Linked DNA regions of Lepisosteus oculatus. The protein of the gene in region 4 interacts with the protein of the main gene of each other region in a pairwise test. Links are inferred from orthologs where the notes say so. Each region holds a gene or a part of one and is shown on either strand. Other genes may lie near its edges.

The links.
Region 1: the proteins of l3mbtl3 (region 4) and ngb interact in binary tests that used the Homo sapiens proteins (3 or more experiments, as listed by UniProt). The two-hybrid records come from large-scale screens. The link is inferred for Lepisosteus oculatus from reciprocal best matches to the Homo sapiens genes L3MBTL3 and NGB.
Region 2: the proteins of l3mbtl3 (region 4) and ttc19 interact in binary tests that used the Homo sapiens proteins (3 or more experiments, as listed by UniProt). The two-hybrid records come from large-scale screens. The link is inferred for Lepisosteus oculatus from reciprocal best matches to the Homo sapiens genes L3MBTL3 and TTC19.
Region 3: the proteins of l3mbtl3 (region 4) and prkaa2 interact in binary tests that used the Homo sapiens proteins (3 or more experiments, as listed by UniProt). The two-hybrid records come from large-scale screens. The link is inferred for Lepisosteus oculatus from reciprocal best matches to the Homo sapiens genes L3MBTL3 and PRKAA2.

The regions. Positions count from the first base shown.
Region 1 is NC_090703.1:9,707,478-9,714,845, forward strand, and holds the start of ngb (neuroglobin), read left to right. Parts: upstream 1-4,356; 5' UTR 4,357-4,676; intron 4,677-4,893; 5' UTR 4,894-5,024; coding exon 5,025-5,122; intron 5,123-6,866; coding exon 6,867-6,975; intron 6,976-7,368. Other genes in the region: znf410 (zinc finger protein 410), read right to left, coding at 49-81. UniProt on the Homo sapiens protein: Monomeric globin with a bis-histidyl six-coordinate heme-iron atom through which it can bind dioxygen, carbon monoxide and nitric oxide.
Region 2 is NC_090701.1:26,039,054-26,046,863, forward strand, and holds the start of ttc19 (tetratricopeptide repeat protein 19, mitochondrial), read left to right. Parts: upstream 1-4,795; 5' UTR 4,796-4,835; coding exon 4,836-5,091; intron 5,092-5,584; coding exon 5,585-5,676; intron 5,677-7,168; coding exon 7,169-7,279; intron 7,280-7,810. Other genes in the region: ATP-dependent RNA helicase DHX30, read left to right, coding at 112-251, 352-599. UniProt on the Homo sapiens protein: Required for the preservation of the structural and functional integrity of mitochondrial respiratory complex III by allowing the physiological turnover of the Rieske protein UQCRFS1.
Region 3 is NC_090704.1:17,352,650-17,359,738, forward strand, and holds the start of prkaa2 (5'-AMP-activated protein kinase catalytic subunit alpha-2), read left to right. Parts: upstream 1-4,065; 5' UTR 4,066-4,164; coding exon 4,165-4,258; intron 4,259-7,089. UniProt on the Homo sapiens protein: Catalytic subunit of AMP-activated protein kinase (AMPK), an energy sensor protein kinase that plays a key role in regulating cellular energy metabolism.
Region 4 is NC_090697.1:3,078,765-3,085,676, reverse strand, and holds the start of l3mbtl3 (lethal(3)malignant brain tumor-like protein 3), read left to right. Parts: upstream 1-3,894; 5' UTR 3,895-3,994; intron 3,995-4,191; exon of another isoform or gene 4,192-4,467; intron 4,468-6,279; 5' UTR 6,280-6,302; coding exon 6,303-6,404; intron 6,405-6,912. UniProt on the Homo sapiens protein: Is a negative regulator of Notch target genes expression, required for RBPJ-mediated transcriptional repression. It recruits KDM1A to Notch-responsive elements and promotes KDM1A-mediated H3K4me demethylation.

The DNA.
Region 1 (7,368 bases), on a different chromosome or scaffold from region 4:
AATCTATTTTGTAGGAAGAATTATGATTTTTTCTTCACTTCTACATACCTCAGGCTTGGAGTCCAGTTCATCAGAGAGCATGGATTCAACCTTGGAGATCTGCAATAAAATATGAAAATGTCTTGACTCCAAAAAAGAATAATTTTTCAGACACTAAAAATACAGTTTTAGGTTTCTTATTTTCAATTCTGTAGAGATAGATGCAAATATACCCTCTCTAACTTCTTACAATTCAAATTAATCCATTCAGACTTCTCCAAGAAAGTTTTTTATCTACCTTTTTTCTTAATGATCTTAAAAACAGATTTTTAATTAACATTAAAAGAGATCATTTAAAATCTACACGAATTACCAAAATAAAATCCTTTTCATGTGGTCATGGATTGGAGGTAGTCTTTCTTATCCTTAGTTTCATCTGCCTGTTGTCATAACTAAACAGGGAGACAACAATTAAAAAATAATTAAAGAATTTGTATTAATGTTGTTAAGTAGACAGTGGTGGAAAACACAGACATTTCACACTATAACATTTTTACTTTAATTCACAAAGCAAACAATTGCAATCGATTGGACTAAAGCAGAATATTTTCCTGTCTTGGCCTTTATTCCAACATAACTTTTAATTTTACCAATCGAGCTTAAGCGGTTTCCTGCTCTTAGGACTTAGTCATATTAATAATCTCCTTTATTTTTACATTTCCCAAAATATATAGCAAGAATAACTCTGTTACAAGTTGCTCTACTTCAGCTTTCTTAACGACTCTTCTCATCAATTAATCATATGTTATCAGACACTGAACGTAAGCCCATAGGTTAAATTCAACCAAGTGTCTAAAACAGGAAGGCTACATTACAGGAGAACTGAGACATGTTCCATGCTAAGTTCTCGTCTTGTTCTACAATTCAAGCACCGAAATATTCCTGAAAACTACAAGCAAACAAATCAATTTAAATGTTCGATAACCCAAACTCAGAAGTTTCCAAATGAAACATTATTCATGCGAGAACAACTAGGCGACCTTTTTTTAATCATTCCTGCCAAATAGAAAAATAGGTTTACGGCAAAAAGTAAAAGGAGGAAAAGTTAGGTTTAATATTTATTTTGAAACTTTTTACAGAAATAATATACGAATACTGCACTTTACATAAAAATTACTAGTGTAGTTATTTCCACAAATAGCAAGTGGAACAACGCAGTAAGTGGAGCATTGTTTTAAAATTCTTAGTATTTGTAAATAATACTTAAATATCGTTAAGTTAACTAAACGTAGCACTGATTCTTGCTAAGCTAATATGAATATCATAAACATACTAACTAACGGTAATTAATTGACAAAAGAGCCCGTACCAGGCCCATTTCCTTAAAAAAGGAATATCCGCCTGCATATGTCTTGTTTTGGTAACTACGTTCGTGATTTCTTTGAATTAGAAATCCCTGCAAAGCGTTTTTGACGATCTACTCACACACTTTTTCTTGTTTTCAGGCTGCCTGCGTGTTTTTTCTTTGTTGTTTTCCGAAGTTTTCTGTTTTGCTAAATGTTCTTTTCCCCCTTTCTGTTTATACACAAACGTGTGTCAAATATTTCCCCTCTACGGGGGCCCGATTGGGACAAGCGACGGCGGCCTGAGCTTGTTTTTTTAACAAACGTGTTTAACCAGTTGGTTTGTACTGTAGGTAGGCGCTAACAGCCTGTTTCAAAAACCACGGTAGGCAAATTCTTGGTAGCACCTGCATGACAGGAATGGGCATATTAGTCGTTGACTTTAAAATAATGATATGACAGAAATGTTAAACAGTAGAAAGGTTATTTTTTTATATATTTGTACACCGTAAATGGTCAGTACAATGGTTATCGTTCGTGTTCCGTTTAACATAGCTCTATGATGAAAAGGGCAGCATCGCAGATTTAATGTTATTGCCGCTGTTTCAGTTGTTAGCATTATAATATCCACCAATCTCTCAAGTACAGATTGAGAGATTAATGTCTTCCGTTTTCCATTGCAACCGCATAATAAAAATGTACCAAATAATGCAATCTCTATTTTATTATAATTTCGTTAATTCAATATTCAGTAGTATTGAACTATGGGTAATTGGGCAAGGCGATCCAGAGTGTTTAAGGAAAAAACATAGTTCCCTTTACAAAGCCTAGAACTTCCACTGACTCACAGTTCGTCACTAGGAGTAAGAAGTTATATTAGGCTCCATCCTTCAAATGTGAGGATTAAAATTTTGAGGGCTTTTGAAAATGGTTCTGCTGGAGCTGTTACTGTTAAGTGGTTTTCTGCTTTATCTCTGTGACTGGCCTTAGACACAAGTCTGCTAGCAAAGTTCAATGTCTGTCCTGAGGAATAGATGACCACAGTGTTGCCACCATCTAGTGTAGCCCATGGTTTCCCAGTCCGGTTCTTGGGACCCTGTGTCCTCCAGTTTTTGTTCCAGCCTTAATTTTTAATCACAGGCTAATTGATTTCAATTTTCTACTTGAGGCATTCTTTTAAAATTTGATTTCAGCTCTTACAACACTGAATTGGGATTCCTCTCAAACATTTTCCCTCATTCAGGCAGGTTAGCTCAAATGTAACCAAGTGGACCTCTGTATAAGGAAAACAAAACTCACAGTGGGAGTGTTTGATGTCTCATGCTCAACTGTGCCTGTTGGGCATTAACTTATCTCCTACTAAGACGTAGTAATAAGTGAGTAATAAAAAAGTTGAAGAGAGACAACATGGATTTCTGTAAACTAAGGTTGTTGGAACAAAACACTTCAATTCATTTGATGGGCACCAGCAATGAACAATTCAGCTGAAGTGAAAACCAGCAGATATAGGTTTCTCCCAGGACCTGGGCTGGATCCCTGTTCTGGTCTGATCTGATCTGCCCTGAGAGGCTAAACCAGGCTGGACCTCGGCAGTGCTGTGGTGGGAGACAAGAACTGCAGTGGTGAACCAGCAGGTGGCAGTCTTTTCTCTGGCCAGAATTTCTAGGTCAGTCCCCAATATGTCTTAATATGGGCACACTGCGCTGTTGGAGGTGCAGCCGTTCAGATGAAATGTTAGACTGGGACACCGATCACTTGATAATTATAGATGTCATTGTACTTCTGTAAGAGGGGTGTTAACCCTGTTGTCCTGGCTAAATTCTGCTCTGGGCTTCCACAATCTGGCCTTCCAAAAGTTTAGCCTTAATTCAACGTGGTGAAATAATTTCTCTCCCTACTCTGCCTGATCGGTTGTGTAGTGGAGCTTCTGGTGCAAAATGGCTGCCTAGTGTCACAGAAAATCAGAGGTGGATGAAGTGTACTCCTTCCTGTAAAGTAAATTGTGATCCTTCAGGATAAAAAGTTCTGTATGAATGTGATGAATTCTATTTATTATATCTAGAAGTAAGATAAGCTTTGAAAAGCTCAGGATCTTCTGCATTGATGATCTAATTTGGCAGCTTCCTCCGTAAACATTAAAATTAACTTTCTTTTCATTATTGGATTGATAGACTTCTGTCTAGCAGTTGTGAAAAAATATATAATAAAATAACAATAAATATGAAGATTTTATGCATCTTATAATAGTAGTAGCATCAACCAAAGTGCCTTTGTTAGATATGCGATATCTACAGTCATATTCCTAATAAAAAAAAATAAAGCTGACAATGGCCTTTAATCAGAAACTATATCTTAAATAATAAAAGATAATAATGTTAATATGTTGCTTTGACCACTAACTTGGGTAAGCACAGAGAGGGATTTTATTGGGCCTGATTGTTGTTAATAGTATTGTAAAAGCCTTGTACATTAACAGTGCTTGAAGTCAGTGGTCATTTCTGGAACTAGTCTTTCAAGGAGAGCCAAACTGATTGAACTGTCATCACCTGCCAGTTTGACAACTGCCTGAAGGCAAAGTGGCTCGCCTTTCATCTGAGTTATATAATGTTCCATTTGAGCGTTAGAAGAGAAAGATCTTCAAAGAGACAAAAGAGAGTCCCCAGAAACAATAATTTGGTCATTTCAATAAATAATTTGCAGAATTTTGTAACTGGGCAGTTTGCTGGATACAAATTTGCCCACCACAGCTGTAACCTTTGTGTTTCGGGGTGACAGGTATGGCCTGGCATTGGAATTTGGAAAGGAGAAACAAGACATCAGAGCATTGCAAATGCATAGGAGGGATCTCCTGGAGACCCTTTCCAAGGTGCAGTGGGAGATTCACCTCGCTGTTGGCCGAAAGGGTTCTGCTTCTTTTTTGAGCATCTTCGCCTAGCATCTCTCTTGGCGAAGCAGCTTTTGTCACACGCGGAAACAAACGCGGCCAAAGTTGCCGGAACAGGCTGACACGCCGGGAGGGTGTCAGTGCGTCTCGGCGCCAGGGGCCATGTGACAGTGGTCTCCTGTGCCGGCTGGGAGGGAGAGCAGGCAGTGCTGCCGCGAGCACAGGGCCAGAGCACAGTCTCCTGCAGGAGGAGCTGCAGACTGACAGATGCTCTGGGGAGGAAAAATCTCTCGCTGAAGACGGAACAAAGGCAGAGCGATAGAGAGGAAGGTAGCAGTCAGGCTGGCAGATAACACTGGGGCTGATCTCCCTCTGACTCTTGAGCCCGAGACAGACAGTGGGCAGCACTCCAAATCAGCCTCTAACATCTCTGAGAGGAGGGTTTTATTTTCCAACATTCACTGCCAAAGGTATAGTTCCATCTCTACACTGCAACCAGGGTTTAAAATTTAGAATATGAGAAGAAAAATACTTTTGATCTAGCATTTTTCAATTAAACATTACTTTAATGTGGTATTTTCAAGGAAACTAGATGTACACTTTTCAACAATGAATCTGTGCTCTGTTATGCTTTAAAGATCAATATGATGGTTGCTGGAATAACAAGGTGTTTTGTTGTTTTCACAGAAAAACAAAAAATCCCTGAAGCTTTCTGCCAGAATATTATGGGTCTGGAAGCTGAAAGATCTTCTCAGATTCAGCGGCAAGTGGAGGAGAACTGAAGACACGGTGAGCTGAAATTCAGAAGCAACCTGACGATGGAGAAATTGACAGCGAAAGACAAGGAAATGATCAGAGACAGCTGGGAGAGACTCGGGAAGAACAAACTCACTCATGGGACCATCATGTTTACCAGGTACTTGTCCATATTCCAGACTGACAGGAACAGTCCTGGTTCATACTACACTGCAGGGACCAGCTTTGCACATCCACAGCTAGAGCAAATCTGGTATGCATAATGTAAAGAGAACAAGTTTAAAGAAAGTGGTTTGATCATACCCCAAAAAACTATGTTGGACAGAGTTACACCATATAAAAGCCAGTTGCAGTGTTCCAATGGACTGCAGTCCAGAAACCATAACATATTTAAAAAAAAGCTAACCTCCTGTCTATTTAAAATACTACATTTTGACGAGAACCTTCCTAAATGCACACAACTGATTTTGTGTTTGAGCCTTACAACTGCTTATCTCTTAAAATGTGTTCTTTTGTAGATGTGCTTACTTACTGTACAGTGTAAGATTGTGGAAATGCTTTTTTAAATCTTTCTATGGATATCGGAATGAGGTATTGTCATATATTCTTTGTACAATGTCCAATATCTCTTTCTTTCACATTTAACATATGGGCTGCGAAGACCCACAGGTGGAGAATTGACAGACAGATAACAGAAGGATATGACAGTTGTAGGAGCAGCTTTGTGAAAGAGTTTACTATAATGTGTTGTTATGCTCCCTTGGCTAGCATTCAGAATTCCAGTCTGAGGCTCAAAACTGGCATTTTCTACATTCGAAATGGGTTTCTGATTAGAAGAGTATTTTTCTGTTTTATAGAGGTAATTTTATCAGTGTGCCAAATAGTCTCCTTACGGTTTTTAGTAGGAAAATCGAACAGTATTGACAGTTTTGTTAGAGTGCTAGCATAGAAAATAAATTGGGTAGAAGTGAGCTAAGAAAAAAAATCCTTTCTTGGATTTCAGGCGTAGCATTGTATTGATTAGAAGTTAGTTGTGATCGTGAGAGGAATCAGGTTTTATCTGGTCCCTAGCCTAAGGACAATTTAGGCTGCTCTGGCCATTTCTTCTAGAGCCAAACCTATGAATGGCAGTCTAGCAATGACACACAGCTGTTTGTCATGTGTGTTAAACCAGGCTCGATCTAGGTATAGAGTATATTGGTAACTACTGTATTTAGAAAAAACAGAATTTGCAAGGGAGCTGCTTACCCTGTGAGTAGCTCTGGCATTTGCACATCTCATTTACTCCAAAGTAAAGGAGCAAAGAAGAGCTTGAGCGCAAAATGTAAAAGACTGCGACACTGCCTGCAGTTCACAAGGGAAGTAGCAGCAGCGATTTAAAATGAGACAGAATGAAGAAAGTTGCAAGAGGCCTGCACAGCCCAGACACTCCCCCACAGGCACACACAGGTTTCAGGCAGAGACATGGTGCAGCTGTACAGGAGCCGGAGGCTTTGCTCGTTGCTTGGCGACAGTGAGGTCCTCATTTATCTTCTGCTGCTGGAGGAGACGTGTGTGTTAGACAGACAGCAACAAGTTGTCTTGCTGCGGTGAAATAATATTTTGTTGGATTTTGTCATGTGAACGGTGGGTCCGGGAGAAGGCTGTAGGATCTGTTTCCTTTGATGCAAAAACAATTCCCTACCTGAGATGAAATATTGATTATCTCACTTCAAAACCAGAACAACATTTAATTATGACTTGCAGAAGGAAATGGATGAGGAATGAAAGTGATTACAAGAGTACAGGGTATATCTGATTTAAGTTTTTGAATAGACTGCTACTGTACCTTCAGCTCTTCCTTTCTTAAACAAATATCCTGTACACACGTATGAATATCGATTCTCTCTGTATTTCACTGACAGGTTATTTGAGCTGGACCCAGAATTGCTCGGCCTGTTTCACTACAACACTCCCTACAGCTCACCCCAAGAGTGCTTGTCCAGCCCAGAATTTGTGGACCACATTAATAAGGTTTGGAATCTCATCCATGTCTTATCTGGTCTTACCTGTTACTGTACAGTATATAGAGCCATGGTTCCACGTTCTAGTCTGGGATATCCTCACACACCGAGTGGTTTTCGTTCCAGTTCAGCTTTACACCTTATTGAAGCCTTAATTGACGTTACATGTTTCTTGATTCGTGAGTTGTTTCACTCCATTGTTTGAGTTTTTACTTGACTCATGAAATGGTAAAAAGGCAGACCCAACATGTGTAAGAGCTGAAAACAGTCAGTCAGTTCAAAGTCATCCTATTCTTAAGTCAATTAAGTGTTTTAAATTGAGTAAGTGGGAGCTTGGCAGGAAACAAAAACCGGCAGGTATGTGGGCCTCTGGGATCGTGATAGTGAACCCCTTATGTAAATC
Region 2 (7,810 bases), on a different chromosome or scaffold from region 4:
GTTAAGGAGCAGTTGTAAAGGGTCGTGGTTGCTTATATTTTAGGATCGTATTTCATAGGTAGTGTTACTTGTGATCTATATCCTGTCAGCTCTGTTGGTCCCTTTCTACAGGAATGCGGAGGACTTCCCCACCCGCTGGCTCACCTTCTTCACAGCTGTCAAATCCAATGGCAATGTCTTCATCAGAGACTCTTCCACAGTGCACCCCCTTTCCCTGCTGCTGCTGGCTGACGGGCACATAACTGAGCGAGGTACAGTGTCTCGCTCTCCCCACCTCTCACCATTAACACCACCCTGCCCCATCTCTGTGCTGATCCCTCTCTCTGTCACTTTCTCTCTCCCTGTCTGCAGTGGCGGAGGACAGTGTGGAAGTGTCTCTGGCAGGCTCATCTCTGGTCCGCTGTGAAGTGTCGCTGCAGAGCTGGGAGCTTCTGCATGGCCTGCGCTTATCCCTGCATGCCATGGTGCAGCACTGCCTGCAGGGGGAGCCCTGCTCACTGCCTCCCAACATAAAGATGCAATATACTGAGCTCATAGCACTGCTGGTGGAACTGCTGAACAATACTGCACTGAACACTGATGCGCAGACTGACCGGTGAATAGTGACACACTGACTACATTATACATTCAGTGTAAAACACAGTTTTTACAGATGGTGTATAGGTGGTTTGGGGAAATAGCAGGTCTCACCCTCTCCAAGCATTATACTTCGCATTTCAGTTTTTTAGTTAAGAATAAAATGGATGGAAAGAAAAGGTGAGACCAAGTGAGAGAAACAGTGCCCATTGTGAGCTGGCCTCTCTGTCTGTTGTATTCTGTATCAGAATGATTTGAAGACATTAGAAATAAACATTTATTTGAGTAACTGCCTAATATTGTTGAAGTATTAGTAACAAAAAGATCATTTGGGTGGACAGAAGGACTTCAGTGGTCTAAGGACATCTCTGGAGAAAAATCCACTCCCCATGGCAGTTACTGTGAACAAATGTGCACATTATGCAAATTACAATTAAAGTGTGGAAAAGAAATATTTTTTTCATTCTAGCATGGATTTGGATTTTTTGTCCTGTGGCCTTTATTACTTTTCTTTTCAATGTTATATTAATAAAGCATGAAAGTCAGAAAAGGTGTGAGAAGAGTTCAGGGGAAGGAAGAGGATTGCAGTAGGTGTTCAAATGTTTCTCAGTAAAAGAGCACAACAGCTGTAAAAGAGGAAGAAAGGTGTTTAAGGGAAAATGTAATCCTTTGAGAGGATGAAAACAAAATGACATACATTGAAAAATTGGCATAAAAGAAGCATGATAAAGAACACTGAATGATCTTAAAACTGCAAGGAGCAAAGTGTTAAATGTAATTCTAAAACCATATAGAAATTGATAAAATTCACTTATTTTCCTCAAAATGAAGCAATTGCCAAATATATTTGTACTGCAGATTTTCTGCCTTATGCATTGCCTCCTTCCCCACAAGTTGCTCATTTCCACACGTGTCAGAAGTGGTTAAACAAAAAGTAAGGAAAAATGTTTGGATAAGGCAACATTAAATCCTTGATGTTTTTTTATTTCAATCTCTGGGAGCCTGGTAAGTGGTCCTTTTCTCTTCTGTGTCTAAAATATTGTGAACCAGAAGAGAACTGATACTGTCATTTTGTACAAAATGGCATTAAATGTTCAAGATGGCAGCAATATAATATTTCGGTGCCTGTGGCAAATTAACGCTACAACAGAAATTCAATCATCTTGTTCACCGTGCCAAAAGATGAAGCAACACAAGAGCGTTGAAGGAAGCCGACTGTGACTGGATTTTGCAGTACACAGCAGGGTATCTCCCAAGAGAATACCTGCTCATCTTGCTAGACAGTGAGGGTCCTGTATCGGTCACATTCAGGTTCATAGCAGACAATTGTAGTTAACAGTTGGGTGAATAACTACTTTCAGATCACTTTTGATAAAGGTCCACTTAAGAGAGAATTGGGGAAATTATGTTTATACTAAGATCTGGTTAATAGACACAAGTTGATTGGTGCATTGAAATAATAGATTTTATAATATCTTTAATCTACTATTTCAAGGCACAATAATGGAAAATATTAATTGCAAAGTCCAAGACTGAAATTCCATAATGGTACTAAATATTTGGATGTTTTTACATTGTAAAAGGACATCATTTGCCTTAATACAATTATCACACCTTAACTATAAAGACATGTACGTCCAGGCTTCAGCATATTCTTCTGCTACAAACAAAACTAAGTGACTTAATTAGTGCTGTACAGACCTAAGGCAAACAGATGTAGACATTTTATATATACACTGTGTATTCAATGGCATCAAATTTGCTTTTGCTTTGGTTTATGCCATTAATGCACTAGATTTAAATTACATACATTTCTCCCAATACCATTTTATAATAATAAATGGAGATTGTGATGCTAAAAATAACCCAGTCTTGGACAAATCTAATCTATAGCAAATCTATAGCATGATTTAAATTTATGAGCAGTGTTTTGTATCTAATTATTAAAGAGAGTATCTACAAAATGAAAAAAAAACATTAGAGATTATACTTTTTTCTTCACATGATAAATTGTCTAGGACTGACTTTATTCTCATTCTAACCACATTTACTGTATACATCATGAAAACTGACTTTTGCCAAGAATTAGTATTGTTGTCACTATATGTCCTTGGCAATCTGAAAAATGGTCTAAAAGTGTCTCTTTCAATTTAAGTAATGGTCTGTTGTTCTAAATAAATGTTATTCAAATTAAGTTTATTTTCCAAATAAACTTTGGAAATTTATTAAGGGTTTTTAGTGAAAACTGTTCTGCATTTTTCTCTCATCTATACATTTAAAAAATAAGCAAATTAAAGTTTTTGAATGATAAATTCTACTTCTTCAAAGTGTTTACTGATTTCTTATTCATGGTACCTGTTAAAAGAACTATTATCACAGAGAAGATCATAATTACGATATTATCACGAAGTAGATGATTGTACGGGACAGAAGTCCATCAAGGCACATATTACTTAATTACATATTACTCAGTACACAAATACTCAGACCAGGAGTCAATTAACCTATCAGTACATTTGTGGACTGTGGGAGGAAACACACAAGAGCACTGGGAGAACATGAAAACTCCACACAGACAGCACACGAGGCCTAGAATTGAACCCGGGACCTCAGCACTGCAATGCATCAATGCTAACCACTGCACCACCTGCAACATAAGCAGTTAAACAAAATCAGTCCTGATGCCACATAGTTTATCTGAGCGCCTATCAACAATCCCAGCTTATTGTACACTTACGTACCAGCACTGCTGTTTAAGCATAATAATGTTAATTATATACTTAATATACAGGATAAGAAAAGATGGTCTTTACTGTCTGTCCTTGCAAGTAGCTAAATTAATAATGTTTTGCCACAATTAAACTTTTAATTCTCTGTTACCTTCACCCCCTTACCCTTCTTTTTCTTTTTTTGAAAACCAATGATTCACTTCATATTCACTTCAAGTCATTAACTTGAAGTACTTCAGCGTAGCCCCATCCTCTGACAAAATGGTAGGTTAAGGGTGGATGTGTCGACTATTAATGGTCATCTGTTAAAAACAGCATGCAATACTGTATATTATGACCTCATGTGTAACAAAGAGCCTCCTCTCTTTATTTTAAATGCACTTCCAGATTCAGTTCTAAGTGAAAGTCTACACTTTTCCAAAGTAACACATTTTGTGGCCTTATAGCCTGATATAAGGACATGTAAAATAAATTCTGGTTTAATCTTTGCACAATTAAACACACAACTTCAAGCTGAAAAACAAACATTTTGAAAAGTAATTACAAATGGAAACCTGGAGACATGGGTTGGGTTTGAAACTCACACCAGGGCAAATTTAACAGAAGCCAATCAACCCACCAGCAGGTCTTTGGACAGCTGGAGGAAATCGGAGCACCTGGAGGGAAAACACATGAACAGAGGGAGCATACTGTAAACGCCACACAGATACCACCCTAGAAATTGAACCTAGGGCCCCAGTGCTTTGCTATACATCACACCACCATATCACCCATAACTTTTGATTTGAAATATTTAGACCTAATAGCAATTACAATGACCATGGTAAGATTGCTACAGCAGGACCTTCAAAAAGAAACTGGAGAATCTAAAAGCATTCCTTTGCTGATGTTTTTTTTTTACTTTGTGATGTCCTATTGTAATTTCAACCTTTGTCCGCTGTTTAGTTTTCATTCTGAACAAAGAAAAGAAGTGTTTTTATTCACTGCTTCGTCGTTTTGCTCTACGTTTGTTAAACTTTAGTTTTTACTATACGCTTTCTGGACCCTAGATTTATTCTTTCGGTAACTTTTAAGACCTGATTGAAAGCTCCCCATGGTTATTTCTTGTACATTTTCTGTCCAGCTCCAGCTTAGTTTTGTCCAAAGTTACCCTTAGGAGATAAAGGGTAGGTGTGTTATTCAACAAAGCCTGGGTTACACGTGCGATTCGTCCCTCTGTTTTGAAGCTCTTAGTGATCCCAGACACCATTGTCTGCCGTAGCACTTTTAAAGACCACAAGGGCTTCGTTTCTGATGAGCGATAAAACACATTATATACACTACTACAATTGACTTACATAGAATCAAGGAAAACACACAGAAAATTGAATTAAAATGATAATTTCAATAAACTGGAGTAGTCGTTATAGGTGCGGTAAAATAAGAACTGGCTATTTAAGCGTTTATAGTCATATGACAGTAGAGACACCGTACTTTCCCCATCACGTGATAGCCAACTAAGTGCATTTTAACGTTTGCCTGCGTACCGGGATGTTTTTGAGTCGGGTTTCACGTCTGTTCCAGGTCCAGGCAGCTAGAGCTCGACGCTGGGCACTGGATTGGACACGAACCCAGGGTGCTCGGTTCCGGGTCTCTGTAGAGAGGCGCGCACCGAACCGACAAGACAGATTTCTGTCACTTGCAGCTCCAACGCAGTACAGAAGGTCATACACACTCTGTACTACTGGTATTGGTGCTAAAACTGCTAGTGACGACAGTCTGACTTTACAAATTTGGGGAATTTTAGGCAAGTGAGATTTTATTTTTGTTATGCAATGTTTTATGTAACAAGCTCTATGTAAGGAGTATGCTTGCCGTATATATGTACAGTACTAGGCTATAAAAAGCAGAGCATGTTGTTCTTTAGATAGAAGACTGCTCATGGATATTTATTTTATATAGAGGAGCTTTATAGTAATTAAAACAGGATTTTAAAAATATAATTTGTTATTGAAGATCGGTTTGTATTCGTTTTGTCGTCTTGTGGTTACGATTCTTAATACTAGAATACTAGTCTATTAGACTTTCCCTGATTCAGAAGTAGTTTTAGCCTTAATATTTCTATAGCAGCTTGCTTTATAAATGATAAAATATGACTACGAGTCTTAAAGATGTGCAACAACTGGAGCCCCTCTTGAACCTTGTTTTGAGCAAAGCAAAACTTGCACAAGTTGAAGCGCAGTATTCTTTGAATTTGGAGAGGAAGGGTTTGTACTTAATGTCTCTCCGTTTTCTTTCAGCGTTCTCTCTTTTCACCCAATCCTCCGATAACGTTGAAGATGAAGAAAAGAAGAAAGAGGACGACATTATTCTGCTTCTTAAGAGAGCAAAGGTATTTAGGTACACAATCCTGTTTGTTTTTATTTCATTCGATGACGTGTTGGGGGGTTTTGTGTCCATTTGATATCTCTTCAAAAAGATGGTGGAGAAATGTCAAAGCCATCAGGACATTTTTCACTCTGTGGGAGATCTAAAGGAGGGTACAGCTCTATGTCCTGTGGTCAGGATAGGTTTATCTTGATATTATTGTCTATCCAGAATGGTGGATATATATATATATTATTATTATTATTATATACCAATTGCACATAGGACAAAATATTTCCTGTATACATTTGTTATGGCCATAGGCCTTTAAAAAAACCCTCCTTGAAGGTACAGTAGCTGTTGAAAATTGGAAAGAAGAGAGTGGGAGGGGTCATTAATTATCATAATAATAAATTAAACTTGAATTTAAACTGCAATATAATACATCTGATTTAACTTTTTCTCTGCTCTTTTCTGGTCGACCAATAATTTTACTAGCAGTATTAACAATTCTGGTCAATTTCCTTTTACTCTTAATACCCAGGCTACCATACCACACTGTGATGCCAAAAGTAAGGATGCTGTCCACTAGCATTCTATAAATGCTCTCTAAAGTGCTTTGACTCACCCCAAACACTTTCAGCTTCATGATCAAAAATATATGCTGACTAGCATTCTTAAAAATGCAGATCAGTTAAAATGCTCATCTATTACTATTTCTAGGTATTTGAAACACTGAACAGCCTCTCCAGGCTGTTTAATAAGGGAGAGAGGTTGAAAATTTAACAATTACTGTACTGTCAGTAGCCAGTACCTTGGTTTTATCAACATTAATATATGAAGCATGTTTGACTGACATCACCTTTCCAGTTAACTTATCTGTTCAAAGTAATTCTTCACCCCTTCTCTGTCATCCCTAGTAAACAGTCCTGCATTTTTAATTTGTGTAGATGGAAAATTGTGAAAGTGACTAAACAAAGCTCATTGTGATGGAGAAATTGTGTATTTGAATTACTGTTGCTACTTATATTTATATTGTATTCTGTGCCTGGGACAATTGAGTGTCATCAATACATACAAGGATAATTGGATTTATTATGTTTTAAACAAAGTTTGAGATGCAGCAAGGTCAGGTGTCTCACTCAGGATGTACCTTGCCTAGTGCCCAGTGCTTCCCCAGATAAGCTGGGGAACATGTTTGTGCAGTTCAGCAGTTCATGTTAAAAAGTGTTTCAGTGCTATAAGCCAGCATTTTTCATGTCTTGTGCCCCCCAACACCATCATTCTAGGTTTTAAATCCACACCATACCTGATCATTTCAACCTGTTTGAAAATCTAGACTGCTTTTACATTGGGTGTGAATGGATTGAAATTCTGGATTGTCAAGGGGTTTGTCACTGCTCTAAGAGACAGACGTCTTACAACGACAACCAGGCTTTGGGAATAAGATTCTCCTAGCTGACAGTACTGACCTGCAGCTTCCAGTGCTTTGCTGATCACTCCATTGTGTTTTTCAGCTGAGCATCATGCAGGGGGAGCTGGAGGCTGCAAACAGGATTCTGCACCAGGCCATCCGACTGGCACACCAGGCCAAGAACACCCAAGCCATCACATACACGTACAGCATGGTACTGTTCCTGTCACAGAGCTGACATCTGTGTTGCGCTGCACACACATACTGCTACACATGTGAATGCTATAGAAGGGAGGCACACGGGTTAGATAATCCCACATATTTGTATTAAGACTAGTATAAGTAAGGTATACACCTTACATTCCTCACTCTAAAAAAGCATCAAATATTTTAATGTACTGTAATGTCCTTCATAACAAAATCTTAAATTATTTTGTATGCCTTCATTTCTATTGTTGTGTTCTCCACAGGTAAGACTTATCACTATCTATCACTTTATTGTGATAGAGAAACTTTAAAGAGCATATTCCTGGAGCTCATAGTCATTGAGACAACAGATTATAATAAGAGTACAGAGGCCCAGAGATACTGGGAATATATATACTACAGGGGCACCAGGACAGATTATAGCCAAGGAAACAAATTAGTAGTTGGATTAATGGTTTTAAATTGAAGACTCAACTGAATTAAAATCCAGCAAATGCTGGGTGTCAACCAGAATGACAAACCTGTTTTTGTAAACAGT
Region 3 (7,089 bases), on a different chromosome or scaffold from region 4:
GAAAAGAAAAAACAGACTTCTAAGAAATTAACCACACTCATTTAAGAGGAATTTGTTGTGGATTATCTTTCTTTTCCAATAAGCTGTTTCACAAGAGGAAAAGAATGTAAGATGGTAAGCACTCAGGTGAATTATTCAGCAAAACATCTTTTCTAATGATATATTTAAACAGATTTATCCATTTTTGTTTGTTGTAAAGTAATCATTGCAAGTAAAGTAAAATAAATGCTACAAATGCTTTGTGATTAAATGGGGACAATAACATTTGCAATAAGCAAACATAAAAATCAATACCTGGATAGTGGCTAATAAGAACAGTCCATTTAGCCCATTTACCTTGTTCGGTAGTAGCTATTTCACCTGCGGATCACCTACTAAAAATACATTTGTACAAATACTTAACATTATCAATGTCAGGGTAATGGTGTATTTTTAGAAAGTTTTAAAAATACAAGCATAAAATAACCTTGGTTGGACAATAAACTATGAATTTTCTTACTTGTTTGTACCTTCCAACTAATCAATTAACATATTAATTTAATTTCTGTGCAATGTGGTGAATACTTTACTAGATATTAAAGGTGAATCAATTTAGACCAGGTCATCGTAGCATTTTACAAGATGTCTGTCTATGGATAACTTTAACTGTACTTGGACCAAATTGTACTGAATTTACTATAATATATGTACTTGAACACATGGACAACAGCATCAACATTACTAACAAAAATGAATAATGATAATGATAGAAGTACAGTTACCAGAAATTTACAAACAATGCTGCACAGCAGTATACAGTACTTCTGACAAGACTCAAATGAAGTCTTCAATCTAGCTGGTGGACAGGACCTTCTCCTGCTTCTTCAAGTGGCAAGGTGGCTGTAAAATTTCAGTTAAGGTCACATCTCTCTGCCTCTCAGAGTAAACAGTACCTCAGATATTACACAGAGCTGACCTGCTCACAGCCTAAGTTAATTTTTAGTTTCATTTGGAAAGTTTTAATTAAAATGCACAATTTAATAATTTTTATATTGTGCCTTTCCTGTTAGGACATCACAAAACAATTTACAATAGAGGTAACAAATCAGAAGAGCACATTAGTACAAATCTTGTCCTTTAACTAATTTAATCAAATTAATAATAAACTGATTGTTCTATAAAAAATGGTGTGAAAATAGCTCTGCATCTTTGTGTCCTCTGTGATAGACTGATGTTCCATCCAGGGTATATCTGTGACCCTAAACTGGATAAGTGGATGTTGAAAGTGATTATGATTTTTTGCTAAACAACACTGAGAATCAATTCAATCTTCAACAGACAAACAAGAACCTATTGTTGACTTCTGTTGTGTTATCTTAGTATTTTGGAAGCAGTTGGGCTGTTGGACATTTTACCTTCTACTGGTGGATGCTGCACATTGGTGGTGGTGGAGGGGAGTCCCCATTACCTGTAAAGCGCTTTGAGTGGAGTGTCCAGAAAAGCGCTATATAAGTGTAACCAATTATTATTATTATTATTATTATTAATCCTAAATGAATTTGAATGGCGAATTGTGCTTTTCCAAGTGTCAGCTCACAGTTACCATTCTTGCACATGCAGAGGGGAAGAAATGTCAGCTGACCTGCTCAGCTTCGAGCCACTTGTGTTTTAATGTCACAGGCACCACAGTTCAGGAGGTTCGGTGCCAATTAGAGAGAGGATCATCCCTCGCTGACAGCACTGCATTCCTGCACTCAAGCTACAGGAGGTGCTGTTCCACCAAGAGCCGAGAACCCCGACTGACTAATCCCACACTTCCCTCAGAGTTATTCGGGCTGTGAAATCCCTTGTGGACAAGTGAAAACACTCAGTCTACAGCTTAAGTGCCTTTCTGGTTGAGCTGCACAGAGGGACATAGCTAAGATAATATTCAGAAGTATGTGAAGCACTGCAAATGCCATACTACTTTGTGTATAAACATGTCTCCAGTGTGATTTATTAGCATGACATAGCTGAAGATGAGCAGTACCTTTGTTTTCCTTACCGTCAATGCTCTTAAAGTCCAACAGGTAACTGCGATTGTCCACCTGATAAAGCTGAAGGCTTTAATTTCCTGTTACAGGAACTCTCAGGTGATAAGCATTCACAACCTGCAATTCACATTAAAGATTGACTCAATAGATGCCAAAAGAATAAGATTGCAAACACAGTACCAATACATTAAATGAGTAAAATGGAAGTGCATAAGTATGTAGTGTGTAGGTACGGTGCCGTATTTGCCCCCTTATTGATTTCCTCTATTATTGCACATTTTTGACACTGAAGTTATCCTACACCAACTGGCACTGTGTGAAAAAGTACTTGCCCCCTTAGTTAAATCAACCCAATTAAAATGATAATTTAGAGTCAGCTGATTGAATACAGCCAGGCTTGATTACAGCCAGCCCTGCTCAATATAAACCTCACTTATTTTGACCCTTACTAACAGAGTCAAGTTGCCAGCACAAAGATTCAACAAGCACCTTATGCCACGACCACAGGAAATTCCTGAAGAAATCAGAAAAAAGTTGTTGATATCTATCAGTGTGGAAAGGGTTACAAAGTCTCTGGGACTCACAGTGAGAGCCGTAAACTCCAAATGGAGAACACTTGGAACAGTTGTGAATCTTCTTAGGAGTGGCTAGCCTGCCAAAATTTCTCCAAAGGCGCAGTGTAAAATCATTCAGGAAATCACAAAGGATCCTAAAAAAACATTCAAAGAACTGCTGGCTTCTCTTGCCTCAGCTAAGGTCAGTTTTCATCACTCCACAATTAGAAAGAGACTGGGCAAAAATGGGCTTCATGGGAAAGCAGCAAGGCAGAAACCACTGCTAACCAAGAAGAACATAAATGCTTGTCTCTCATTTGCCAAGAAGCACCTGGATGATCCCCAAGCCTTTTGGGAGAGTGTTCTATGGACAGATAAGTCAAAAGTGGAACTTTTTGGATGACATGGGTCCCATTATGTCTGGCGTAAAGCAAACACAATATTCCACAGTAAGAACGTCATACCAACAGTCAAACATGGTGTCGGTAGTGTGATGGAGTGGGGATGCCTTGCTGCCTCAGGACCTGGATTACTTGCCATAATTGAAGGAACCGTGAATTCTGCTTTGTATTAGAAAATTCTTAAGGAGAATGTCCAGTCATCTGTCCGTAAGCTGAAGCTGAAATGTAGTTGGGTCATGCAGCAAGACAATGATCCAAAAAGAATGGCTGAAAAGAAGCAAAATTAAGTGTAAGCAATTATTATTATTATTATTATTATTATTATTATTATTATTATTATTATTATTATTATTACTGGAACTATATAAGAACGACAGAAATCGTACATCTCCACCTAGTGTTCACATTTATGTAGTGTAGCATTCCGCTCCCACCTGTATTGGATTTTCCCTTTTCCCTCTCAACCTTGACCCTGACTGCATCTGTATACAGTACACATGTATCATATTATATAAATCTTCTATTTCGCCATGTATTGCTACCGGAGACTGCGGGACACCACTCTCTCTCCCCTAGTGACTAGCACACATACTGTAATCTAAAGGGCAATAAACCCCTTTTGTTTAAACTGAGTACTCTGTCTGCAGCCTCCAGAGCCGCAGGGTCGTTCGCTGCAGTATATAATAAATTTAAAATTTTCTGGCATATACAGTATTTATTTGCTATGGTACATAAGAAGAGCTACCTTTCAGTACACTAGAATACCTAGTACGTCGTCAGTTCCTAACAGCAACAACTTTAATGCTGTTATCAAAGACAACAATCAAACATTATAGTATCTCCAAAAAGACAAGAATGTGACACACTGCATACTGTAGAAATGTCCTTGAAGTGCAGCCACCGTGATTCTAGCGGGATTAGGGTTTTAGCGTGTAAAGAATTAAGAATATTTCTTTCCCAATAACAGGTAAATACACAGGCATTTCAGACACACATTTCGAATTGTGGGGAAGAGTTAATAGGCTGCCGCCATCCTCCCCCCATGTCTCTCGCCAGAAGACTGACAATCACCATAAACAGCATTGCGCTGTCTGGTGTCTGACTTCTTTCGCGTGCTTGGTGTAGTGTGCGTTGTACAGTACTCTTCGCCTCCCTCTGCACTCTGGGTAAAACTACAGAAGGATCACAAATGCAAAAATGGCTGAGAAGCAGAAACACGAAGGCAGGGTTAAAATAGGACACTACATATTAGGAGACACCCTTGGAGTCGGCACTTTCGGAAAAGTGAAGAGTTAAGTGTTTTTTTTTATTTTGTTAAGAAACTGCTACAGCTTCCGACAGACTGTAAATGTCTTTCTCCTCTGCCTTGACTGTGAATGTTAAACCATTGCAGGTGGACACTACGCAAACGGCGTAGCAGTGTCTTGACAGTGTATGGGAGCAGTCTAAGAACGGCGAACGCTTATTTCGTAAATATAACTGAAGAATGGGGAGTGTTTTAAAAAATCCCGAATTCTGTCATCAATGCAGAGAGCAGTCTTGTTAAACGCTTGTAAATATTATGGTGTGCAGTTCATGCTTAGGAAGCAGTAGTAAATCAAAAATCCTGTTTTCTGACATGCAGTAACAATAAATGCGAATGCAGTATTTTGTAAGGTATATACAATCATTGCTTTGACAGCGCAATATTGAGAAAAATCATCACACTTTGGTAATGACCATATCAAATATTATGTTAAACCGATGTAAAATGTACGCAGCATTTTATTCTTAAGGAAACCAGAGTTGATAACTGTGTTGTCGGCTTGTAATTCTGACCTTGTTTCTTTAACCTTTACGCACGCCAATCTATGAGGATATTTTAAAAATGGCTAAATTTTAACTTTAAAAATGGCATTTTAGTAAATTCGTTTAGTTGATACGAGTAAACTGCATCTGTTGCCAAACGGTTTTTTCTGGATTTTAAAATAATATGACCAAAAGAACCAAAGAATACAAGATCCACTCTGGCATGTTACTACTAGAATTAGTGCTCTCCTGGTTCAAGTTAAAATGGTAATTATTGTTTGCTAGGTCAATGTTAAGGTTCGACAGAGTGAGGGAAAGTAATTTAGGAGACTGTTGTCCGGTAATAAGGCAACCACAATAGTTTGCAGCTGCAATAATTAAAACTAAAAATGTCCATTTCTATTAAAGCTGGAAATTCGAACCATTCATGAGAGTACAAAGCACGAGCAACACTACTTTTTCATGATCAAAAGTACCAAGTGTTTTTTAAACGACAACTCATTTTTTTCATTTTCAGCGTTTCACGCTAATATGTCTGCAATATTTCTCAATGTGAATTATCAGCACTGCCTAGACAAACCAGCAAGTGCAGCCACCTGTAGGTTGGAATTTGGAATGCATCCCAGCTTGACCTTGGAAACCACTTTAAAGAGAAGCAAACAGCGTATTTCAAGAATAGTAAGATTTTTAATGGCCGAGTCTGAGGTCTGGACCGGTCAACTTTTGAAATACGGTAATTAGAGGAGTAGACTTATCTATAAAAGATTTATGTTCTAGTGTGATTACGTGCTTCTCTGATTCTGGTTTTAATGTGCTCAAATGTAGGGATTCTGCATTATCTATATTGCTGAAAATCCAAACTACAGTACATGTTAATAAAACTTGGGGATATAAGCAATTGAAATCTCATCAGTGATTTAATGGAGTTTTTAATAACTTTTGCTATACCTTTCCCAAAACTATAAACTCCAAGAAATTTTCAGGCACCCGTTACTTTATCACATACATCTTAGCCATTAGTGTATTGATCTAGTCCCCATGTGGTCACAACAGTCCACAAAACATAGAGATCCATAAGAGGCAAACTTGACATTTCTTTGCTTTTTGTTTAAGTTTTAGACTTTGCTTGGTTGTTGTTGGGGCAGGAGAAGAATTAATACAGACATATTATTTATCCTTTTTCCTATAATGGACTTGTCCTTCACTATAAGGGTAAGGTAAAAAATAAATAGCATGAGTCTTCAATATAAAAAAGTGAGATCAATTGTATGAAATGGTTACATCAGTAACTTTAAATTATTTAGGACATGTACTGTATTGCTAACCCATGGAAGATTATAGGCTGCAATCTGGATGTCCTTAACATGCTGTGTGAGTTTTCAGGACCAGGGGAAAGCAGGAATTAGATAAAAGCACAAGAAGAGAAAAAATAGCCTGGTATCTAAGATAACACTGAACCCTGGGGAGTCTATCAAGCAATTTTGTAAATCACTGTTTTCTGTTTTCTATTTGGTCTACACAGTACTTTTTTTACATTTTAGAAAGATATCATATTCTGTATTTTCTCTGTTGAGGATGCACAGCATATTTATTTGGAGGGGATGTGGATTCACAAGCAGGATGCTGGTTCTCTGAGCATGTTTAATTGCTTTTCTGAAACAGCCAGGCTGTTTTGTAGAAGATGTTTGAAGCTGAGCTAAGGGTTTGAGTGTAACAATTTTTTTACAATGTCTTTCTCCTTCTGTTTTTTGTTTTATTAAATATTGATAGTTCTCACAGAAAAGCGAGGTGTGTTGTCTTTGGCTTCTATCATGCTTCATGTCAAGAGACGGCAGGAGATCTGCTCTCAAATGAGCAATCCTGATGTTCCAGTTTTATACATTAATAGTACTTATCATAGTCTAATGAGAATATTGCATGGGACGTAATAGGCAAACCAGAGATCTCAGTAGACTCTTCTGCCTTTAATATTAACCAGGTTTGTACCTTACATTAAGTCAGTGAATTGATTTCTGTTGCCTTTTTATACTGCAACCATGATTGTTTTAAGATAGAGCAGTGAGACCAATTCAAAAACTTTATAAACCAGGCATTTTCTGATCATAATCATGTAATATTCACCACCAAAATAAATTTGCAGTAATAACTAATGTTCCACAAATATTTTCAGAATGCTAAATTAAAGACTCCAGGAAGGTAGTTTAAATTAATCTTGTAGATTTTTAACAAAAAAACATGGTAGTCTTAGTCTTGTGGTCTATAATTGCTTAATAAGGCATTGAGAAATAACATGACAAACCATACTTAATGTTCTGTAGAATGATTTACCACTTC
Region 4 (6,912 bases):
TAAGACATTCAAGCAAGCTGACCCATACACAGCCTGATGAAGCTCAGGTGATTAATGCAAAAGGGGGATAGGATAGTTTTGATTTGCTTCACTGGCTGCACTGTATGCAGCCGATTGCCGTTCTGAAGGAGAAGGCTGCGAAGGATGTTTCAAAAGGATACTTGGAGCTACCCATTTATAGAGGTTATGGAATACTCTAGCTAATTAAAAGAATGAACTGTGATCCGCAGAAAGCACTTCTAATTATCTTTACTTAATAAGGCTTTGTTTTAGATTTGGTTTTGGCAGCAAAACGAAAAAGTGGCATCACAGCGCTAAACAGGAATTTACAGTACAGGAAACAGCATAAAAAATGTGTAACATCGATAAAATATACAAAATAAAACTGAACAGGAATGACTGGGCTTGGAAAGATCATGGGACCTACAAATACAATTGAATCAGATGAACACAAAAAAACACCAGCCTATCTAATTGTTAATGACTGGATTGAAGCCTTTAAGTGATTATTAAAAACTAGTCACTTCAAATGCAAATACAGTGAATATGTCTAACAAATACATTAGCTAGACTGTTTACTGGATGTTCTATGAAAGCTTTTTGACATTTGAGATCTATAAAAACAGATCAATGATCGTGACTCTGGTATATTTGTAGGTGGTAACAGTAACATTGAAGTAACATTGATAAATATGCAGATGATGCAAAAGTAGGTGGAGTTGAAAATAAATTTCAACAATGCAAGTCATTTTTGAGGCACTATTTGGATAATCTGAGGCACTATCTGGAGAATGTTTAGGTACCTGTCAAAAGAAATTCAAACTAGATAAATGCAAGTTTGTGCAGACAGCTATAATGTATTGTCTAAGTAAAGAAAATTGTAGGTGGTAATGGACAAGAAGCGAAGGAATGAATGGAAAATATCTCAGATTCATGTTGACTCAATACTTATATATTCTAGAGAGTGCAGTAAAAATAGCAAAAGCAATAGTAAAATGGCTGGTAAAAATTTGGGTAATATACTGTAGTTAAAGGCATGTAATGTACCATGTAAATTTAAGGTCTCACTTTGAATATTTTGTTCAATTCTGCACACTGTAGAAAAATATTGCTATTCTAGATGCGGTAAAAAAGGACTACGTCGTGGTCTGGAAGGAATGTCATACTTGGAGTGATTAAGAGAGCTGTTTAATTCAGGTGTTCAAAAAGCTGAAAGGAATTGACCAAGTCAGTACAGGGAACTGTACGTCTTCAAGATTACCAACATTGTAAGGAACCTGGGACACAAGTGGAAATTAACTTCAGGAGCATATTGGACAGAAAAGTGAAGACACTCCTTTACATAGGGGAACTTGGGAGCCTGGTACAAGCTCCCTTGCCAAAATATTGAAGCTGAGCCTGTGGGATTTCTCGATGGAATTCTTGGCTCCTTATGCTACTGGCATCCAAATGTTGAGAATGGGTCGAATGGCCTCCTGGCATTAGTAACCTTTCTCATGTTATTACGTCTCTGCAGAGTTTCTTCTTAGAAGAAGAAGAACAAAGTCCAGCACAAAATGAATGTTCAATGTGATATCAAAAGCAGAATTGAATGCACATCACCAGATAAGAGCTCAGCACCATCGGCACATCACAGAGAATATTTTAGGAAGGAGATTCAAGCAGACACCAGTGAGGAATGGGGAACTGCTCAGAAGTGAAATCAAAGTTCAGATAATGTTGGAGTTAAAACATTTATACTTCATGAGGAATAATGTCATCCAGGAATCAGATGATTTATGAATGTTGATTGAGTAGTTCAAGTATAATAAATGACTTGGTATAGTATAATTACCCACCTGGTAAAGGAGCAGCCCAATGGCCATAAACATAGAAGACTCAGGATGCCATTTCAGGGGATTTAACCAGCAGAAAGGTGAAAATGGGATAGAGGAGAGACACATGAGACACAATGCAAAATACAGTACATCTTTCAAAGTAAAAATTGAGTGTGATAAGTAGGAAACATTGGGAAAAGATTACGATTTAACCTAGGTGAGATGGACTTCTTGTAATCCCTACTAAACGTCACTTATGAATTTCCATATGATATGCTGTATAGCACATTATACTGAGATAAAATAGCACAAATACTGTAAAACTACAGAGCAATTACCGTAAGCTGCAGTAAGGAGCAGCAGTTAGGATTGTGAAAGAGAAGGTCATATAGTACAGTATGTTCAAGTCCTAGGAGCAATGCTGCTGTAACACACTTGTGCTGACTGTACTGTGTGAACAAAACTCAAGAATGCGGGAGTCCATTATGTAGAAGAGGAATTAAGTCGCAACTGAATAAAAAGTGAATGTGCTTTTCCACCAGTAGATGAGGGAGAAATAGCAAGCCGGAGGTGGAATATTGCATTTCCCAAAAATCTTGATGATATTGTCCGTGGCTTGATTGTCTCTGTGGTAACTTGCTTTTACAGTATGTGCCACAGTGGAATAGTGCAAACAGCTACAGCTACATGTTCAACAGCCTAGGCTGGACAGAAAGACCCATTAGAGAACTGAGAAGATTAACAACAGAGTGTGGAGGACATCGTTTTGAGTCTTTTTCAGGAGTCTGTTATATACAGTAGCTCACTCTCCTGAAAGTGATCAGCATCATCTATACTGTGACCTTCTGTATACTTTGATGTGCTCCATTGTATAGGATAGCAGTGATTGATTTTAGCTAGCTAATTGAAGAAATTAGGAATGATTAAAGAGGAAAGATTAAAGAACAGCAGTGTTTTCTGCAGTACTGCACTGTACTGTATGTCCCATCACCTCGTGCACCTTACAATCTTAAAACAAACTGCCTTTTCCATGCACAACAGAGAAGTCAGGATTCAAAATATTGAATAAGGGACACTGAACAGCCATCTAGCTAAGTCACATGCCTGCCCTCTTTATCTTTAGTCTCTTTTCCACAAAAAAACTTCGTCTCTTAACAACATGCACTGACAGAAAACGCATGTAAATCTTAAAGAACCTACAGTATCTGGTTTCAAAATGTTTCTTTTTTGTTTAGCTGAACATGTTTTCAGATTTATCTTCCTCTGAAGGGGTTTAAAATACTACACACTTATACAGTACTGTATCGCTTGTTCGACCATTCATACTGTATTCGTGTACAGTATGTTTACACAAACAGCCAATACATTGATACTGGATCGATATGAGCCACGTTCTTTATCAACTCAAGAGGATATCTGAGCACCTGCTATAAAGAATGACTAAAGTGTTTTAATTTGATCGAATCCAGAGACAACGGAAAAAGCACCACTCAATATTGTAAATCAACATTATATTTACATAATCAAAGTGACACAGTATTTCAGCTTCTTAGTGTTGATATTTTACTTCGGGAAAAAAATACTTTCGTACGGATATTTTTTTTACGTTTCCGTGTCGACATTAATAAATCTTTTATTTATGTACAGCCTCACTTGCGTTCATTCATTCGTTTCGATGTATCCAGAAATAGATTGAAACGCTGCAATAAAGTCCAACGCATGACATATCCGAAGTTATACCTTTAGGTTGTAATAATTAGTCATTATTTTAAAAAAAAGACGATTACGTATAGTACGAATTATTTCAAAACATCTGATTTAATCTGAAAGGTTATTTTAAAGAGGGAATAATTTCCGCTCACTTACAAGCTAGTATATTTTGAGTAACAAAATGGTAACCGCTACTACTCATAACGAAACAAATAGAAATTTGATTTCCCAAGTGCTACATCTGCACAGCATAGTTTGCGATCCAATGACAACTATTTGTCTTGACGTCTCTTTGTTAAGGACAACAACAGTAAACTATAAGTAGATGAACAGATTTCGTATTTTTTAAGGCTGGCAAAACTTCGGTATCATGTGTTATAGGCTATTCTGCAGCTCTCGCTCGTCTCTCCGCTCATGCGCATTGAATGGTGTCTGAGCAATTTGTCAGTACTCGTGAGAGAATTTGGGTAAGAAACAGACAAATTTAAACAACAATACTTTTAAATCAATATGTTTGTGCAACAAATTCTTCCCTACAGTTAGGTGTACGGGACTATCTTTTACTTTCGTTTTAGGTTTGCCGCATTTTAATTAGCCTGAAACTTAGAAATAAAGTACAAATCGACTGGACGTGTCATCAATAATTTTAGCCAGGAAGAGGATTGAGTGTGATAGAGCATGAAATGAATTACACAATAAAATTACAATAAAAGTAGCCCAGAAAATTATTGCTTACGATGGAAGTCATTGTTGGCTCCCATTGTATTTTGCAGGAGACGACAATTTTATGATTTATTTGAACTCTTTGAAGAATAATGCCAGTTTTAGAGCAATTCCTTCCTCTGGGTGAGAAACAGCAGAAACTGGGCGCTGGGAGCAAGAGATAAAGAGGGCAAGAGATAAATATTTAAGCCACCATTTCTTTTCATTAGGCTTTATAGTAAGTAAAATTATATTTTTTTGTTTGAATGCAACGTGTCTAAGGGCCTGTGGATGAGAATTATATAGAGTATATTCCAGTTCCGCCATTTTGGGAAACTGCCTTTAAAAACACATTAAATAGTATCAGAGAAAAGAAAAGTGTTTATCAGCTACGGACCTCAGTTCAATGCATGATACGCGTCTTGCGTGGGCATGGACATCGGTAAATATGAAGCTCCTAGTTTCGCAAGTGAAAAGAAACAAAGTAATTTAATATTAAACTTGCGCTGAACTGTGTCTTATTCACCGAAAAAAGAAAAGTATTTGAGGAAGAGATCTAAAAATAAGTATAAAAAAATCCCCAATATCGAGGAAAGGAAATTGACAGCAAGATGAAAAGGAATACATGAACATGAAGTGTTTGTCTTTCGCTTATGCGTTAATTATAATAATGATTACCTTAATTATAAAATACATGAGTAATTTTATTATATTTGTCAGTTTTTGTGATGACAGTTTTTTTATTCTCTTCATTTTGGTTTTGCGTTACGTATCTCACACCTTTACCGTGAAATGAAATGAAGTCTGTTGAATTCGTGATCTATGGCCGTTATTGTTCCTGTACTGTACGTATTGTAATAAAACGCCTTGAGAAAGCGCGAAGAAAATGTAGATACTTTCAATATCATTAATGAAAACACATAAATCTAATAGAAGACTTCGACTTAGTTAGATATTGCTGTTAGTATTATTTTTTTTCATAGTTGAAGCAAATTTTAGCACGTTGTTCGCATATTATGAACCGTATATATGATAAATTGCATAACTGAAATTACTAAATAAAGGTGTAACGCACAAGTAATGGATAACCTTATGAATTTTATTGCTGTTTGATGAAAACAATCTTTTATGTATCATGAATTATGGTCTATAATATAGAACATTTGTCTCCATTTTTTCATTGTCATTTCATTGTTAAATTAGCTCTCGAAAGTTTCAAGCGCAGAATTATATTAACCTGGGCAATGGTGACCTCTAGCGGTGATAAATGCCAGCGTTTAGGTAATTTTGTCCTTTTAGATGAGCTGTTCTGCACCCATCATTAACAGGTTTGAATATACGTTATTATATACAAAAAAAATCATTGTCTCATTTCCCTCGAAAAAAAGGAAGAATTAAATTTTAACCTAAGGAATAGGACTAATTAGCATGAAAATGTGACATCAGAAAACTATACAAATCCAATTTATCCATCCATCTGTTTTGTAAACACTTTGTTCAGTTCAGGGTGACAGGGGAGCCAGAGCCTATAGCAGCAAACAATGGGCACAAGGCAGGATACACCCTGGATGGGACACCAGTCCATCACAGGGCACTCGTACACACTGACAATCACACCAGGGCCAATTTTCCCAGAAGCCAATTGACCTATCAGAACAGGATGGCTTTGGACTGTGGGAGGAATACAGAGGAGCCTATGATTGTGGCGGAGGCACATAACAACAATTAAACATTATTCCCTTGTAAATAACAAATAGAAAATTATAGATTTAAATCTAAAGACAGGCTGGGTTAAAAAAATCCCTGCATTTGTTTCATAAATTATTTAAATTGTGTTTTAATTGTGTAAAGCCTACACTATTTGCAGTTTTTGTCTTACTTCGCAAAATTAAAAACATGTTTACGATTAATTGCATAAGACCTAGAAAGAAGTTTTGTGAATACAGCGGCGCTTGGCATTGGTGCGATTTCACCTTTCTGTGCTGAGGGATCCAGGTCCCATTGTGATCTGTGGGAAGAGGCTGTTCATTTCCCAAATGGTGCTTTTCAGGGTGCTGTACTTTTTTAAAAGATATGGAAGAATCGCCTGCGAGTCTAGGAGCTCAAGACTTTGATGTTTACAGTGCAATGGACTGGAAAGATGGAGTTGGAACTCTTCTAGGAAGTGAGCTGAAGGTGAGACTGTCGGGACATCCAATTCAGAATGCCTAGTTTTTTTTAACTCTTGGATTTTGAATGCTTCGTTTTATCTAGTCTTCCTTTATTGAAGCATAATAAGTAACAATCATTTACTGAATGTTGTACAAATGTATGAATGGGAAGAAATATTTTGGCATTGTCTGTCAGAGACCAGGCAGGGACAATGCTAACCAGTGCAAGCAAATAAAACTGATAAAGGAGATCTAGCAGGTACGTCAAGGCCCTTGTGAAAGTTGAGATGGGTCACTGTAACAAGGAAATTACTAAAAGCAATGATGAACTCCTGGTCCATGTTATATTCTACTTACACATTAGCTCAGAATATATTTTCCCAGGAGGTGCTGTAGCAGCTTCAGATAAAGGGTCAGCCATAAGCAATTTCATAGTTTTACGTTTTTTTTAAATACAGTTCTCCGAAGACGTCTCATTTTTATGAACACAAAGGGACACATTTTCAGTACAATGAGTACTGTGTGATCAATGG